Canis lupus familiaris: one gene and its partner. The protein of the gene in region 2 purifies or fractionates together with the protein of the main gene of each other region. This does not show direct contact. Links are inferred from orthologs where the notes say so. Each region holds a gene or a part of one and is shown on either strand. Other genes may lie near its edges. The genes, in order: USP5 and MAF.

The links.
Region 1: the proteins of MAF (region 2) and USP5 purify together in Homo sapiens (affinity purification with western blotting; 3 studies listed by BioGRID, with this or other methods). This does not show direct contact. The link is inferred for Canis lupus familiaris from reciprocal best matches to the Homo sapiens genes MAF and USP5.

What each region holds. Positions count from the first base shown.
Region 1 is NC_049248.1:7,926,149-7,929,951, reverse strand, and holds part of USP5 (ubiquitin carboxyl-terminal hydrolase 5), read right to left. Parts: exon of another isoform or gene 3,777-3,803; intron 3,553-3,776; coding exon 3,427-3,552; intron 3,151-3,426; coding exon 3,084-3,150; intron 2,908-3,083; coding exon 2,774-2,907; intron 2,615-2,773; coding exon 2,469-2,614; intron 2,244-2,468; coding exon 2,059-2,243; intron 1,620-2,058; coding exon 1,525-1,619; intron 535-1,524; coding exon 341-534; intron 1-340. UniProt on the Homo sapiens protein: Deubiquitinating enzyme that participates in a wide range of cellular processes by specifically cleaving isopeptide bonds between ubiquitin and substrate proteins or ubiquitin itself.
Region 2 is NC_049226.1:72,522,834-72,527,317, forward strand, and holds the start of MAF (transcription factor Maf), read left to right. Parts: upstream 1-1,583; 5' UTR 1,584-1,786; coding exon 1,787-2,955; intron 2,956-4,484.

The DNA of each region.
Region 1 (3,803 bases), on a different chromosome or scaffold from region 2:
CCCCCACCCCCCAAGTGCTACATATCCTTGTTTGGTCCCCATCTGCTGTCATTGGTCAAAAGCAAAGAGTACCTCCTCCCCCGAGTCAATCAGGAGGCCAGGGAGCACGCTGGGATTCGGGGTTCTGCTCTTGGTGGGGCTTGCATGGCTAGGTGACCATGGTGCTCTAACTGATGGAAGCATACCAGCCACAGGGTGACAAGAATGAAGACCGAGCTACAACACGGAGGTACTGACGGTAGCCAAAGGAGGAGTGTGCCTAAAGGCTGGCATCTAGGAGAGCTGCAAGGTCAGGGGTACAAGGCCTAAGGGCCAGGCATGGGGAGGGGGTGCCACTCACTTCCTCTGGAAGTCAGGGATGCTGAAGAGCACCTGGACCACAGAGTTGAGGTAGCAGCTGTTACCCAGGTTCCGGATGCCCGTGTAGCCAGGCCCAAATAGGGGCTTCAGAGGCACACCCGACTCCTGGATCAGCTCCCATTCGCCAATGCGCTGGTTCATATCTATCTCCAACTCCGTCATCGTCTTATCCGTCTGCAAGGGAAGGTGCATTTCAGACAGGGTGAGAAGCTCAGCCCCATATTTTTTCACACTGATCCCTCAGAGGGCCCAGGACGGCACCCAGCTGAAGCTACAAATCTGTTCAATTATGGATTCTAACGTGGGAGACACACTGGCTGGCTAAGCCTGGTCCCAGCTCTGGAAGGCCATGAGTGACTGTCCCTGAGACCTGTTAGTCATCAGACCTCCACTTGGGTGAAAGAAAGAAATGAAGGTGAGTCCTTCCACTCGATGTATTTTTTCCTTCTGAAGTCACCCCATCTTACCCCTCAAGCTTCACTTCCTTGATCCCCGCGATGAGCCAGTCCTCCTGCTGTACACTACTTCTCTGTCTCTCTACCCCTCTCTTTTTTTAAAGATTTTATTTATTTACTCATGAGACACACAGAGAGAGCAGAGACATAGGCAGAGGGAAAAGCACGCTCCCTGTGGGGAGCCCAATGTGGGACTCGATCCCAGAACCTCAGGATCATGCCCTGAGCCAAAGGCAGATGCTCATACGCTGAGCCGCCTAGGTGTCCCACTTTTTTTTTTTGAGTAGGCTCCACACCTAGCATGGAGCCCAACATGGGGATGGAACACACAACCCTAAGATCAAGACCTGAGCTGAGATCAAGAGTCAGACCTTTAATTGACTAAGCCGCCCAGGTGCCCCTCTACATCTCTTTCACAGCGCCCACCGGTTTGTGGTTATTCACTCATTTGCCTGAGCAGACAATGAATGTCTGCCTTTCCATCTAGAATGTAAATTTCTCTTATTCATACAGTGACTGGCACATAGTAGGTACTCCAGTAGCATTCAATGGATGAATAAATTATTCTAGAAAGTTTTTTAAAGGAAGCACAGATGCCCTGGGGACTAGGATAACTGTGGCAGCTGTTGTGGATGGGCTACTTCAGCCTCCGGCCAGGAAGGGCCCTGGCAGGCAGGGATGAGAATCGGAAGCTGAAGGGGGACCTCACCTTCTGCATCTTTAGCATGTCGATGCCAAAGTGGGACAGGTGCTCAGCCAGGTTGGGGTCCAGGACCATGTCATCCTCATCATATGAATACACATCTAGGGTGGGAGGCAGAAGCAGGGTCAGAAGAGGTGGCTCTGGACTGGCCTGGCCACCGACCAATTCCATTCCCTGCCCCAAGGGAGCATTGATGGGACAGAAGGAGGATCCCAGAAAGGTAATCCTCACAAGCCTTTCTGAGACTGGCTGTCAGGGAAGGGATGACTGAGCATGAGGGCTGGAGTTTCCTGGGACTCTACCATGTAGGATAAGGTGCTAGGGTCAGATGGGATTGGAAGGATACTCACTAAACACATAATGCTGGTGATCTCTAAGAAAGGGACTGGGATTTGGGGGGCCTAACTGAAGATTTAGTGTTATCTGCAATATGTTCATTGTTAATCAAGAGAACGTACTGATGTGTTACTCGTGTCATATACAATGAGTAACAGTTAAGCACACTTCAGCGCAGAGGGAGCCAGAGGAGGGAGGGAGTACCAGCTCCGTCGGGTGTGATGGTGCCCAGCTTGACAGCTAATGGGTAGCCTGTCTCCCTGTAGTGCTCTACGGCATGGTTGTTGCCACCACTGCCATCGAAGTAGCGTCGGCCACAAAGAATGGAGCCATCTGTCAGGTTGAGCCACAAGTTCTCTCTCATGTCACACTTGGAACACTTCCAGCCACTAAGCCAGGGAGAAGAAAGTTAGCTGAAATAGGGGTCAAGGGTATCTGGGATTGGCCCCCTGCCAGTCAAAGAGCTCCTTCCTTCTCTCCTCTGGAGGTCCCTTTGCTGAGCTCATCTCCCCCAGTCTCCCTCTGGCTCTCTCTCCCACCAGATCCCCCAGGAGGGGGGCCTCTCTGCCCCTGCTCTGGGGATTGTGCTCCAAGGTGGAGGGGCCAGGCCTCACCAGGGAGGGATTCGAGCAGGGTTGTCCAGCTGCTTGAGGTTGAAGGCATGCTTAGACACCTGCCGTACTTCCCCATCCCACGCCTGTACCTCCTGCTTGCGGGAGGCCGAGTCAGCCGACAGTAGGGCCTCCACCGCACTGGTCACCTGGGGGAAGCAGAGGATCAGAGACGGTCCCTGGCCCGCCACCCTCCCACGCCCCTCCAGCCCCTCCATCTCCAGCTTTCTCAGTGGCTTGCCCAAGACATCACTGCTTGGGCCCCTGCCTGCCCTAGAGCTCCTGGGAGGGTGGGAAGGTATTCGCACCCGATCTCTGACGAGGTCAGGCAGGCCCCCCAACCCATCCCGGGCAATCTCCAGGTAATCCGGCAAAATGACAATCTTCACATCCTCATCATATTCAAACTTCTCCTCACTGAGGTCAAACCCGCCTTCCATACCTGGTGAAACAGGGAAGAGAGAGGGTAGGACAATCACCACAAGTAAATGTCCCTCCTCTAATACAGCATCTCATTTTGTCCCCTCCACTGATCAGGCCCATTCTTTTGGGGGTTGCCAGCACCTCTGAGAGCAAAAGAGACCAGCTCAAGAGGAGGAGGACTCTAATGGTGCTCACCAATAGCCAGCCGGGTGGGCTTCTTACGCGGGGGGTCTCCAGTGCCTGTAGTGGTGTCCTCCTCTTTCTACAATGAGGCAGGAAGGACAGGATCAGCAATGGGTACCAGGGAAGGGACAAGTGGGGAGGATGGACAGGGCAGAGTCGATTAATCTTGGAAGGGAACGGAGCTTAAAAACAAGACAAAACAAAAACACACATGTGCTGAGTTCTAATGATACAAACAGAAATAGGTGGGAAACTGAGGCCAACGGGAGGTCAGAATGGATGAGACAGATTCCAAATGGAGGCCCAGTAGCACGTGCCCAAATGTCCCCAGGCATTGCCCCCACCCTGTCCCTACCGGGCGCCGGGTCCTCCGGAGGTGCAGGTAGACTCGCTGGCCCGTCTTGTTGAAATGTCTCTCCACATACTGTTTCCCAAAGCCCAGGAATGTATTCATGCAGATGTAGAGGCCACCCTCAGACTCCTGCAGCGCAAGAGGTGGGGACAGAGGATGAAGCCTGGCTAGGTGGGGAAACCAAGACCCAGGGCCAGACACTGCCTGTTTCCAAAACAAAGCTCGGTTCTCGAGCACCATGTGGCTCCTAGCAAGTCATTTAGCCTTTCAGGCCCTGGTACAGGGTGAAGATTCTTCCCATTCTCCGCTGACTTTGATAACAACCAAGAAGGACCCCAGGAGCTGAGCAACACCTGTCAATCACATTCCTCTTCCTTCCG
Region 2 (4,484 bases):
CGGGAGTCGGCGGCGCCAGGGCCGAGCTCCCCGCTCCCGGCACCCCGAGTCCCCCCGCGCCCGCGCCCGCGCCCGCGCCCGCTCCCCCCGAGGGCACGCGACGCCAGCGGGCGGCCAGTCTCCGCGCGTCACGGCCCCCGAACAACTTATTTCCCCTCCTTCAAAGCGGGCGATGAAACGGGCTTCCTGGGCACCCCGCGCGGACCGCGACCCGGCCCGGGGCCCCCTGAGCGCCGCCCCGCCAGGCGGCTCCTGCGCCCAGCCGGGCCCCGCAGCTCCCCGCCCCGCAGCCCTGCGCCCCGGCGCGCGGGTCCCGGGGAGAGGGACAAAGAGTTTGCGCTCTTTGGGCTAAGTTTGAGCTCCCCGCACGGCTACGCTCCGGGAAGGCAGGTCCCCGTGGGCAGACTCCTGGGTGCCTAAGGCGGGGCGAGCAGGGAGAGCGGCCCCGCCAGTTCGCGGTCCAGGGGATGGGGGTGCCCGGGATGCGGAGCCGGGCGGGCCAAGCCCCGCAGAGCGAGCGGAGGCCAAGCCGGCGCCCCGAAGGCGGGCCTCCGTCGCGCTCCGAGGGGAGCACACCGGCCTCCCGGGGCCCCCGGGTCCCCGCGGCCCCGCCGCGCGCCTCCCTCCCCTCCCGCCGCAAACTTTGCGCCGGGGCTGCGCTCCCTCCCCGGGAGGCTGCGGCGCGGGAAGGGTTAAGGCCGCTCGTCCCAGCTGACAGTCAGCTGATTGGGCCCTGATTGACAGCTCCGAAAAGTTTCCTTGTTTCTATCTATTATGCTAATCGCGGCCGCTCTCGCCGCCTCCCATTGGCCCCGAGTACCAGTCAATTTCCCATTTGGGCCTGACGTCACAAGTGCTATAAAACTCAGCAATTGCTTTAAACTCTTCTTGCTTGGATCAGAGGCTTTAAAATCTTTTTTCATCTTCGAGCTGTGGCTCGGGCCGCTCTTCGGCTCGGCCTCCCCCCCTCCTTTCGCTCTCTGCCTCGCCTTTTTCCCCGGGACTTCGCTATTTTGCTTTTTTAAAAAAAAAAAAAAAAAAAAAAAAAAAAGGCAAGAAAGAACTAAACTCCCCCCTCCTTTTCCTCCAGCCGGGCTGCACCTCTGTCTTGCACTTTGCACGGAGAGAGCGCGCGAGGGGGAGAGAGAGAGAGAGAAAGACAGAGAGAGAGGAAAGGAAAAAAAAAATAAAAAGCAGGCAGAAGAGAAGGCGAGAAGCATGAAGTGTTAACTCCCCCGTGCCAAGGCCCGCGCCGCCGGACAGCCGCCCGCCGCGCCTCCAGCCCCGAGCGGCCGCCGCGCGCGCCCCGCCTGCAGCCCGGGCCGGCGAGGCGAGCCCTCCCTATGCACAGCGCGCAGCGGAGCGGCGAGCGGGGGACGCCGCGCACCCGGCCGGGCTCCTCCGGCTCCTCCGGCTTCGCCGCCGCCGCCGCCGCCGCCGCCGCCGCCGCCGCCGCCGCAGCCCGCGGAGGACCTTCCCGAGCCTGAAGCCGCCGGCTCGGCACGCACGGAGGCGAGCAGGCGAGGAGGGGCCGGGGCGAGCGAGCGAGCGAGCGAGCGAGCACATTGGCGTGAGCGGGGGGGAGGGAGGGCGGGCGCGGGGGGCGCGGGCAGGGCGGGGGGTGTGTGCGCGCTCGGAGGTCTCGGGCCAGCCACCGCCGCGCGAGCTAGAAGCGCCCCAGCCCGGCAAGCTGGCTCACCCGCTGGCCACCCAGCACAGCCCGCTGGCCCCTCTCCTGCAGCCCATCTGGCGGAGCGGCGGCGGCGGCGGCGGCGGCGGCAGGAGAATGGCATCGGAACTGGCAATGAGCAACTCCGACCTGCCCACCAGTCCCCTGGCCATGGAATATGTTAATGACTTCGATCTGATGAAGTTTGAAGTGAAAAAGGAGCCGGTGGAGACCGACCGCATCATCAGCCAGTGCGGCCGTCTCATCGCCGGGGGCTCGCTGTCGTCCACCCCCATGAGCACGCCGTGCAGCTCGGTGCCCCCTTCCCCCAGCTTCTCGGCGCCCAGCCCGGGCTCGGGCAGCGAGCAGAAGGCGCACCTGGAAGACTACTACTGGATGACCGGCTACCCGCAGCAGCTGAACCCCGAGGCGCTGGGCTTCAGCCCCGAGGACGCGGTCGAGGCGCTCATCAGCAGCAGCCACCCGCTCCAGGGCGGCTTCGATGGCTACGCGCGCGGGGCGCAGCAGCTGGCGTCGGCGGCCGGGGCCGGGGCCGGGGCCGGGGCCGGGGCCGGGGCCGGCGCCGGGGCCTCGCTGGGCGGCGGCGGCGAGGAGATGGGCCCCGCCGCCGCCGTGGTGTCCGCCGTGATCGCCGCGGCCGCCGCGCAGAGCGGCGCGGGCCCGCACTACCACCACCACCACCACCACCACGCCGCCGGCCACCACCACCACCCGACGGCCGGCGCGCCCGGCTCCGCGGGCAGCGCGTCCTCCTCGGCCGGGGGCGCGGGCGGAGGCGGCGGCGGCGGCGGCGGCGGCGGCGGCCCGGCCGGCTCCGGGGGCGGCGGCGGCGGCGGCGGCGGCGGCGGCGGCGGCGGGGGCGCGGCGGGGGCGGGGGGCGCCCTGCACCCGCACCACGCGGCCGGCGGCCTGCACTTCGACGACCGCTTCTCCGACGAGCAGCTGGTGACCATGTCGGTGCGCGAGCTGAACCGGCAGCTGCGCGGGGTGAGCAAGGAGGAGGTGATCCGGCTCAAGCAGAAGAGGCGGACCCTGAAAAACCGCGGCTATGCCCAGTCCTGCCGCTTCAAGAGGGTGCAGCAGAGACACGTCCTGGAGTCCGAGAAGAACCAGCTGCTGCAGCAGGTCGACCACCTCAAGCAGGAGATCTCCAGGCTGGTGCGCGAGAGGGACGCGTACAAGGAGAAGTACGAGAAGCTGGTGAGCAGCGGCTTCCGAGAAAACGGCTCCAGCAGCGACAACCCGTCCTCTCCCGAGTTTTTCATGTGAGTCTGACCCGCGGTCCCAGCTAGCCACCTTCCTGCGTGCTCCGCGGGGGTCCGACTCGGCTGTGGGCTTGCTAGTTCCAGAGCCGCGCTCGCCGCCACCTCGCCCCCCCGCCGAGGTCGCCCGCTGCCCCTGCACGCGCGCACGCACACGCACACACACACACACACACACACACACACACACACACACACACACGCCCTGCTCCCACTTGGCGGTGGTGGTGGCTGTTTTTAAATGGGGAGGGAGTGGATGTCTGGCTCATGGATTGCCAACCTGAAATTCTCCATAACTTGCTAGCTTGTTTTCATGCACCCCCCTACACACACACACACACACACACACGCACACACGCACACGACGTTCAGACATCTCAGCAGAGTTCTTCATGCTCACCTTTGAAACCTGCATCATTCACAGTGTTGTTTTCTCTCTCTCTCTCTCTCTCTCTCTCTCTTCTTCTTCTTCTTCTTCAGTTCATGAGCTGGTGTTCATTTTCCGTGTGTGTTTTACTTTGTTTGGATTTTTTTTTTTTTAATTTTACTTTTTGGAGCTTGCTGTGTTGTCCTTTTTCCCAACCTCCATCCTCACACCCTTTCCACTCATCTCCTCAGAGAGAAAAGAAAAGAAAAAAAAAAAAAAAGCTAAGGGTTTTTTTTTTTCCCCCTCCTCCTGAGTTCTTCATGTGAGATTGAGCTTGCAAAGGAAAAAAAAAATGTGAAATGTTATAGACTTGCAGCGCGCTGAGTTCCACCGGGTTTTTTTTTTTTAGCATTGTTATGCTAAACTAGAGAAAAAAAAATCCTCATGAACCTGCCACAATCAAGCCTGCATCAACCTTCTGGGTGTGACTTGTGAGTTTTGGCCTTATCATGCCAAATCTGAGAGTTTAGTCTGCCATTAAAAAACTCATTCTCATCTCATGCATTATTATGCTTGCTACTTTGTCTTAGCAACAATGAACTATAACTGTTTCAAAGACTTTATGGAAAAGAGACATTATATTAATAAAAAAAAAAGCCTGCATGCTGGACATGTATGGTATAATTATTTTTTTTCTTTTTTTTTTCCTTTTGGCTTGGAAATGGACGTTCGAAGACTTATGGCATGGCATTCATACTTTTGTTTTATTGCCTCATGACTTTTTTGAGTTCAGAACAAAAAAGTGCCACCCTAGAGCCTTCTTCCCATGAAAGTTTGCATCTGCTCCAAAACTGCTTTGAGTTACTCAGAACTTCAGCCTCCCATTGTAAATGCACTGAAGGCATTCCTTGTCAAAGATGCCAGAATGGGTTAAAAATTTAACATGGCAAACATTAAAAGAACTCTTAATGTTTTCTTTTTAATAAGAATGACACCCCATTTTGGGGACTAAAATTGTGCTGTTGCGGAAAGCAGTCTAAAACTTATTTTTTAAAAAAATGAAATCTGCCCCATTATTTTTGGTTTGTTTTATTTTTATTATTATTTTTTTTTTTTGGCTTTTGGTCATTGTCAAATGTGGAATGCTATGGGTTTCTAGTATATA